2 linked regions of the Bombyx mori genome follow. The protein of the gene in region 1 interacts with the protein of each later gene in a pairwise test. Links are inferred from orthologs where the notes say so. Each region holds a gene or a part of one and is shown on either strand. Other genes may lie near its edges. The genes, in order: armadillo segment polarity protein and tax1-binding protein 3 homolog.

Evidence for each region.
Region 2: the proteins of armadillo segment polarity protein (region 1) and tax1-binding protein 3 homolog interact in a two-hybrid assay, tested with the Caenorhabditis elegans proteins (2 studies listed by BioGRID). The link is inferred for Bombyx mori from reciprocal best matches to the Caenorhabditis elegans genes hmp-2 and txbp-3.

Annotation. Positions count from the first base shown.
Region 1 is NC_085116.1:12,303,133-12,307,180, forward strand, and holds the start of armadillo segment polarity protein, read left to right. Parts: upstream 1-1,248; 5' UTR 1,249-1,389; intron 1,390-1,436; exon of another isoform or gene 1,437-1,633; intron 1,634-1,675; 5' UTR 1,676-1,706; coding exon 1,707-1,743; intron 1,744-1,815; exon of another isoform or gene 1,816-1,983; intron 1,984-2,418; coding exon 2,419-2,543; intron 2,544-3,399; coding exon 3,400-3,505; intron 3,506-3,634; coding exon 3,635-3,845; intron 3,846-3,976; coding exon 3,977-4,048. Other genes in the region: uncharacterized protein LOC101744306, read right to left, coding at 1-48. UniProt on the Caenorhabditis elegans protein: Required for cell migration during body enclosure and cell shape changes during body elongation. Plays a role in recruitment of the cadherin protein hmr-1 to adherens junctions.
Region 2 is NC_085111.1:14,179,526-14,183,927, forward strand, and holds tax1-binding protein 3 homolog, read right to left. Parts: upstream 2,713-4,402; 5' UTR 2,282-2,712; coding exon 2,228-2,281; intron 2,152-2,227; coding exon 2,023-2,151; intron 1,748-2,022; coding exon 1,559-1,747; 3' UTR 807-1,558; downstream 1-806. Other genes in the region: NADH dehydrogenase [ubiquinone] 1 alpha subcomplex assembly factor 2, read left to right, coding at 2,954-3,047, 3,351-3,501, 4,315-4,402. UniProt on the Caenorhabditis elegans protein: May regulate a number of protein-protein interactions by competing for PDZ domain binding sites.

The sequences.
Region 1 (4,048 bases):
ACAACGGTCGGTGTTATTGAAATACCATAAAAAATATGCACAAATCATCCATTTGAGTCTACGATTTGACAGGTGCTTCTTTTAAACGAACTTTGAAAAAAGTCCCGATAAGCAGAAGATCTTGGCAATTTCAATCCATAATAATACTATTCAATGCGAAAGTGGGATTGGTGGTTTGTTGCGCTTTCATGTTTTAACTACCCAGCTGGTCAAGACGAAATTTTTCGTACAAATTGTAAGATTACAAAATAACAAAAAGAAAATTAGCTCGGAGAAATCACACATGTTCAGTTGGCCCCAAACTAGATAAATAAATACATAGCTATACCTTTAAAAGTACGTTTATAACATTTAAAATGGCTCAATACTTTCATTCATTTATACGGATATCAACATCCAAACAAATAGTAAACAAATCTGTTCATCACACTAATGTTTACCTGATCTGGGAATCGAACCCACGATATTTTTTTGCTTTTGATGCCAACAAAAAATCTGAAAGTAATATCGCCATCGCATTCACGGCCACGGAACTTGTATGACATTATTTCGTGCATTGATCTTGAAGCAGGATTCTGCCTACTATGTTGCTTCGAAATAATTTTGTACCTAGAAATATTTTCACATAAGTTGATAAAGATACCTGATAAAATCAACCGCCTTTAATCTAAAAACTTAAATATTAGCTAGTAACCAATATAGACCTAGGGATCTAGACAAAGTGTGCTCTTAAATATTAAGTACATATATTATCTGTGAATGTACTAGCGTTAATGTGAATATTAGATATGTAAATACAGAAGTACCGTATTTATTATATTTAATTTTAAGGAATTGACATAATAAATAATAATTACCTATGCTAACGAAACGTCACGTGGTCTAACTCATGTCAATCCCTTAAAATCATACCCGTCCGGGCATAGCTGGAATAAGACCTCAGGTACCTTCAGACAGGGAGTAGACTCAGTGGTCAAGGCTCAGGTACATCAGGTTTTTTAAAACTAGGTCATTTAATATAATAATATGACGTAACAATTATGTAAAATTATTATCTGCTGTATAAAAAAGTTACAAATCAATTAGGCATCATTAAAAAAATACAAATCTGCGTGCCACGAATCGTATTGTTTACAATTTATCCCTGAACTTTATGTTGGCACCCCGAGCCTTTGAAGAAAAAATGAGATAAAAGCATATGCAATACCTTAGAGCGAACGAAGTAGCAATACTAGTGTCAGCTGCATTTGAAAGTAAACGAAATTCGACGAGTCTCCGCCATGTTGTTGTATGAATCGAGTGACGGTGGGTCGGATATTGTGCATTTAATTTGTAAAAATTATTTAAAAGTCGTGAAAACAGTTAATCTGTTTGGCTTGCACGGCCAAGGTAAGTTTTATTCGCATTAATTTTAATTAAATAATGATATTAGTCACCTTAATATCTCGACCAGTACAAGTTATTTTATGGGGTCGGGTGTGGTGTTCGGTATTTAGTTCATGGTGCACTTATTTGTTTTGTTTTCCGCTGTTCCAAAAGTATTTCCTAGTGGGAAGCATTAAATAAATGCAAATGTTTATGTGATTAAGTTCTAATGTGAACCATGCTTTAATTCTTATGAATCGATCGATAACGTACAAAGCGGAGACATGTTTTATGGTATTTTTTACAACAGGGGACGGGTGCATCGTCGCATCGTCTAAATCATGAGTTATCAAATTCCATCATCGCAAAGTCGCACAAGTAAGTAATTTATATTGATTCTTTTGTAAATGTAAATTTATCATATCATTGCCATTCAAAAAGCTTGAGTACTTACTGAACGCTGTTCAAACCACTTACTTCGATACAATTGAATGAATCGGTTTGTGTCTATCGTGACTCATGCATATGGCATTACTTGAACGATAAATTTATAAATGAACTTTAACTTTTCTGTATCTCAGTACATTCTCTGCTAAGTAGCAAAAGAAAAAGAAATCCTAAAACACGAAAACATTGGAATTGAAACTGAGGGAAAAAATTACATTTTGAATCATACATTCTCAGTTCATTTATTTGAAAACAATTTTTAAACAAATTGCAAATAAATTAGATTAAAAGGAAATTTGAAATATAATTTGTTATGATTTGAGAACTCTCAAAAAGGTTCTTCAATTAATGAAAATACAGGTATAACAAGATTAGGATTCAACATAATTGAAACTTCAATCTCTTGTCAAAAGACGTGGAGTTCACATTAATGGCATAAAGTAACCACTTTATTTTAGTTTAAGTTTAGCTCCTGCAACTACTTACTAATTCTCTTTATGTTCGCTTGAAATTAAACCCATACTACCCCTTACATTCCTACAGAAATATATATATATCTCTCTGTTTTGTGTGAATAAAAAACGAGAAAACATCATTATTTTACAGTGTCGCACAGCAGCTATGTTGCTTCTGATGTGCCAATGGCACCAAACAAAGAGCAGCAGACATTGATGTGGCAGCAAAACTCCTATTTAGTGGACTCTGGAATCAACTCTGGAGCTGCTACCCAGGTAATGTTATCAGACTGTCTATTATAAAATACAGCAGTAATATTGTCCTATTTCATTATAAAAATTGGATTAAAATAAAATACGGCTTGTCTTCTTAATTTAACATAATTTTGGGATGGACACAACTGAAAATCTATCTTTATCAATACAACAACATAAGTCATTCAATATACAAAATAATGATGAAGTTTGATTAAATTTTTTATTATGATGACACTTCATAATATGAGATACCTGAACTACGTGTGCTCTAAACCTTGCTGATTTTATCATGGAACTTTTAACTGTTAAACGTAGAATGATCTAAAGAAAAAGAAAAAACATTTTCTGTCTCATTTAGTCGTGACTGAACCATACAAACTAGCAGTTTGAAAATTACTTCTGCATATTAAATAGATTTTGAATTGAACTGAGCAGTACTTTCATTAGTGAAATCTGTTATGGTATTTCATTGATTTTATCTGGCCTGTGTTCTTTAAGTAAGGACAGTAAATATGAGCAAAACACCATCCATTATAGTGTGAAGATATTCTTGCATTTTAGTTTTTAGAGTACACGTCAAGCCTTGTGTACTTCTTAATAGTTGTTTAAGCACTGATGAAACTAAAATCTTAGTATACAGCTCGAAAAGTAATATAAAATATCATAAAAATGCACAAAAGATCAGCTATAGTGATAATTGCTAACTTTTATTTGATATTTAAAAAATATTTTTTATTCCCAAAAGTACAAAAGATTTTTTATGAGAATACATAACCATACCTTTGTAACTTGACTGAGAGTGATAATCAGATGACTCCTACCTTTTTGAATAGTCACATCAATTTATTTTAGTTAAATGTATGATTCTCTTCAGGTTCCATCACTAACTGGCAAGGAAGATGATGAGATGGAAGGTGACCAACTTATGTTTGACCTTGATCAGGGTTTTGCTCAGGGATTCACTCAAGAACAAGTTGATGGTGAGTTGTTTCCCCATTTCATTTAGAAACGTTTGAATGTACAATATAGAAATAATTTTACACAAAAATTCTTATGACAATACAAGCTGTTTGGATTGTTGTATTCAATATCATATGCTTTACTTTCAGATATGAATCAACAGCTTTCTCAAACTAGATCTCAAAGAGTCCGTGCGGCTATGTTTCCTGAAACGCTGGAGGAAGGAATTGAAATTCCATCGACACAGCTGGATCCCGCTCAACCAACTGCTGTCCAGCGTTTAGCTGAACCTTCCCAGATGTTAAAGCATGCTGTGGTGAACCTCATCAATTATCAAGATGATGCTGATTTAGCTACCAGGTATAATTATGTAATATAATAGCCTAACACCAGATATTCTATCAGATCATCAGGCAACAAGCATGAAAAAAAAAACATTACACTATTATTATTCATTTGTTCTATTCCTATTGATTTTAAATTTGTTTCAGAGCTATTCCAGAGTTGATAAAGCTACTGAATGATGAAGATCAAGTAGTAGTATCCCAAGCTGCCATGATGGT
Region 2 (4,402 bases), on another chromosome or scaffold:
TAGTACGTGAAAGAGCAGCGGTTTTAACTCAGGTAATGGAAATTAGGTCTATAAAGTTTGTACTGAATTTAACGAAAAGTAAATTAAATATTCATCTACACTGATTTATCACTGCGTAAAATTAATATTTTGTGTTCAAAATTCTTTGCTTGCTTTTCTGGTCTCTTTTGAAACCACTACTAATCAGAGGTCACTAAAAATGTTCTTACAGACTAAAGACAGCTTTGAAATCGAAAAGAAAATCAACTGCGGTCAAGCTGAGGAATTGATAATTCAAGCTGAAAATGAATTAAACCTAGCTAGGAAGATGTTAAATTGGAAGCCGTGGGAACCACTAATGGCTAAGCCTCCTAAAGGTCAATGGGAATGGCCTCCATCTAAAGCTTAATTGTTAATATTATTGTAGCATATGTAGTAAATTATATCATTTAAACTCAATAAAGAAAATTATTAAAAGCAGTGTTTTATAGAAGAATGTTCCTAAGTGTTTTAGAAATATTTAAAATTAGTCACTATTGTTTTAGTATGTAATAAACATGGACTAGAAATCATTCTTTGCATTTGGCAGCCTCTAATTCTTTTATTGAAAGATTGTCAAACTTAAGTTGCTGTTGCAACCTATTTATTTCAATTGATGAATTAGGTAAATAAATCTAGTAACAAACATGATTTGATACACGATGATGATGATTTGATATATAAACAATAAATGAACTGGGTTGGTAAGTCAAACAGGTGTTATTTCAATTAAAAAAAAAGTTTTCACTGTCTTCTATCAGATGTCATGCAGGGAAATATAAAATGAATTCAATACAAAAACATCCAAATGTTTTTAATAATTATATCATACTCTTATCACTTAACATAGAAATATCAATTCATAATAATAAAAAATCCCAATAATAACACTAAACATTTGTTTTATATTATGACGAAATATTTAAGAATAAATTCAATCGTAATTAAAAAGCAGAAAATATTTTGAGAAATAACACAAAATCTTCATAGTTTAAGTGCCATGCACATAATTATCATTCTTTACAGACTGCACTATAAGACTTGTAATATCAATAATAAGGTGTTATTATCAATATTACATATTTAAATATACCTGATGTAGCAACAATCCTCTTTAATAAAACTTAACTTGCATCTCTTAACTGAATTTGTCAGTTTAATGTAAATGCATTGTGTAAATTATTAACTACTGTTAATGGTAACTCCCCAGGCCTGTTTTATGCTGTACAAATATACCGTAAAATGTATTACTTAAATTCAATGAAAGGTTTTTGAGACAGACTGCAAACCCATATCTGCTTAAAACTTAACAGCTAAATTCTTAAATACAAAAATAAATAACAGTATAATAATCACTCATGGTCATAATAATATAATACTTTACTAACTTAGTAGGTACTTCCAATTAGCTGTATGTTTCACACTTAAATTTTTAATTTGCTTATCGTATGTCAAATAAATTTCCTTATAAAATAATAAACTCATAAACAGTGATTTAAAGTTTTTTACACAGATTTGTTTATAAGTAAGATGCCGTATATTATGTAGATGTAACTCCTTTTCTGGCCACAAGCAAGTTAAGAATAGGGTGTTTCTTAATATAACTAACTGCTTTTTTGTGAGTTACCATTGTAAAGTCATAACCATTGCACTGTAGTATTTTATCATGCATTCTTAAACCTGATTTTGCTGCTGGACTTCCTTCATGAACTTCAGTTACATAAATACCCTAAAAAAATTATATATTATTAACTTTTAAATCAAATCTTACAAGACAGAAAAATATTAGTGGCTTTACAGACTTTTAAAGTTTAAAATTTTAATTTAAAATGATACCACATAAATACTACATTATTATCCTATGTTGTTTAATAATTATTTATAATTTTTTTCAGCATCAGAATAACATAAATAAAATATCTTAGAATTGTGTTTTGTTTCATTTCATTTTGTTGTCTTAACAAAAGAGTCCATCTATATTTTGAATATGGGAACAACACTCACGTTATCTGTATATCCCTGGGGGCTCTTACGAAAGTCTTGATCAATGCCTCCTCCTATTTTAAAACCACATTTCATTACTTCTCTTCCATCTGGGTCAACACCAGCCTCTTTTTGTAAAGTTATCGGTATCTATTAAAACGAAAAGTATTAGTTAGTCAAGTAATGAAACTCTGATACGTAAAGTGGGAGTGGTCTGCTAACTTACACTTAGACACTCCATAGCTGTTCCAGCCTGGTGTTGAAATGCCATCTTCGCCATTATGAATAATATTTATGTGTTTACCTTCTAAATTAACAAAATTCTCAAAATGAGCAAATGCTTATGGGAAATAAATATTGGAAATTTTAAGAACGGTACATATACAATATACGAGTAAACTATTCAACTAGATCAACAGTAGGTAACACTGAGAATTAGCATGTGACATAACTGACAAGTGTCATAATTTTTTTTTAGAAACTAGATAGGTACTCAGCGGGATTTTTGATGTACATACTAACTTTATTTCATGCGTATACGACCTTTTAATTACAAAAATAAAAGTGAAAATTGCCTTCTAAAATGGCAGTTTTTGTCTGTACTGTACGTTATTATTAAAGTAAATGAAAGTTAATTTCTAGCAACGAAAGCTTATTTATTTTATCCCATCTATCCTACGGTGCTGTTTTATTTCACCTCTTTCCATTTTATGATATTAAAATCTGTAAGCAATTTCATTTCAATGCATTCAGATCTGTTTTACCTTTTAAAATAATCACAGTTTAAATACTCAATAAATAAAGATTAAGCGATGTGAGCTAGGTTGCCTTTGCTAATTCTATTTAAAGAGATTATTCTGCTTCTGTCTGTACAAAATTGCAATTTGTCAATTTGCATTCGAACTGTAATATTCGAATTCGAAGTCTACTATTACAATTTCTATAATTTCAGATGTCTAATGGAGAATATCGACAAGTATGGCGCATTGTTTTTAGAAATTTCATTAATTCACTTAGACCAAAACAGGTTACTGGAAACAATGTTGGTAAGTGCTAATAAGTTATGAGTTTAGAATTTTCTTTTTTTTCCTACCTAAGCTGATAGCCTTGAGAGGCTATTTCAGCGTAACCTTAACTAGTAGATGAGCTCACGGGGCTCAAACCGGAGTGATGCTAACACTGACGCTAGCAAGAGCAGTGCTTCGCAGAATCTACCACAGGTTAGGTAGGTTACATTTATTTAGAAAAATGATTATCTGCTGCCCATGTTTAGTTCATTTCTGTGTGAACGGAATGAAATTAAAGGACATTAAAGGAATAGCAGTGAATGGATAAACATTTTGTTACAGGTAAAGATTACATAGGTAACACTTATTTTGAAATACCTGCTAGTCCAAGTGAAGGTAAAAGAAAGCCATCACGTTGGTATGATCCACCTAAAGGTCAGGATTTCCAAAATCCAATACCAGCCGAATGGGAGTCCTGGTTGAGAATGAGAAGGTACTTTATGAAGTTCATATTTATGCCCTTAATTAAATTTGCATAAAATGATTTTAACTGGTATGAATAGGTAGCTGAACTAACACATAGACTGTGATTACATAGATCATGTACACAGCATAGAATATATAGATCCAACTGCTTACATTCAAACATGAGGACTTTGATTTCTATCAAAGATACAATTGCATAATGATGGAATACAGATTAATTTAGTTTTTAAATCCTGAATTTGCTACTAAGTTTTAAAGTAAAAATACATAACGAGCTGCCTTGGTTTTGCACTGGAGCATCACCATATTGTGTTAGGTGCTTTGCAGTTATTATAAATGTATTATTTATGTTACTTTTTTTGCAAAAAAAGTATGTTAATTTATAGTATTTGGGATAATATTTTATACTTCTTTTAAAAGTGATTAATCCTCTAATCCTTTTAGGGGATAAATTTGAAATATATAAAAATATGTGTACATTTATTATTAACTCAAGACAACTATAGAAGCAAGTATATGAAATTTTATGCCTTTTAGTATGAAAATGATTGAGTTCCATTCAACCGTTGATCCTTTATGTCTTGATTACTGACTTTTCATTTGTTGATCCCTTTTCTATGTTAGGGATGATTTTCCAAAATTATAACATAAAAAATTTGGTAAGTAGTCAAAATATCATGTTTGTAGAACGCCAGCTGTTTAGGCTGTGAGTTAATGATTTACTCAGTAAGGAACAGTATATAAAGATATAAGTTATAAGGTAAATAAAGATGTATTTAAAAAATTAGTATTTTATGACGTATTTTTTTGGACAATTTAGAAAAGAACCACCATCAGAAGAGGAAATAGCAAAAAATGTTGCTATAGCCCAAATAAAGAAGGAGAATGCTGCTAAAATTGAAATGAAG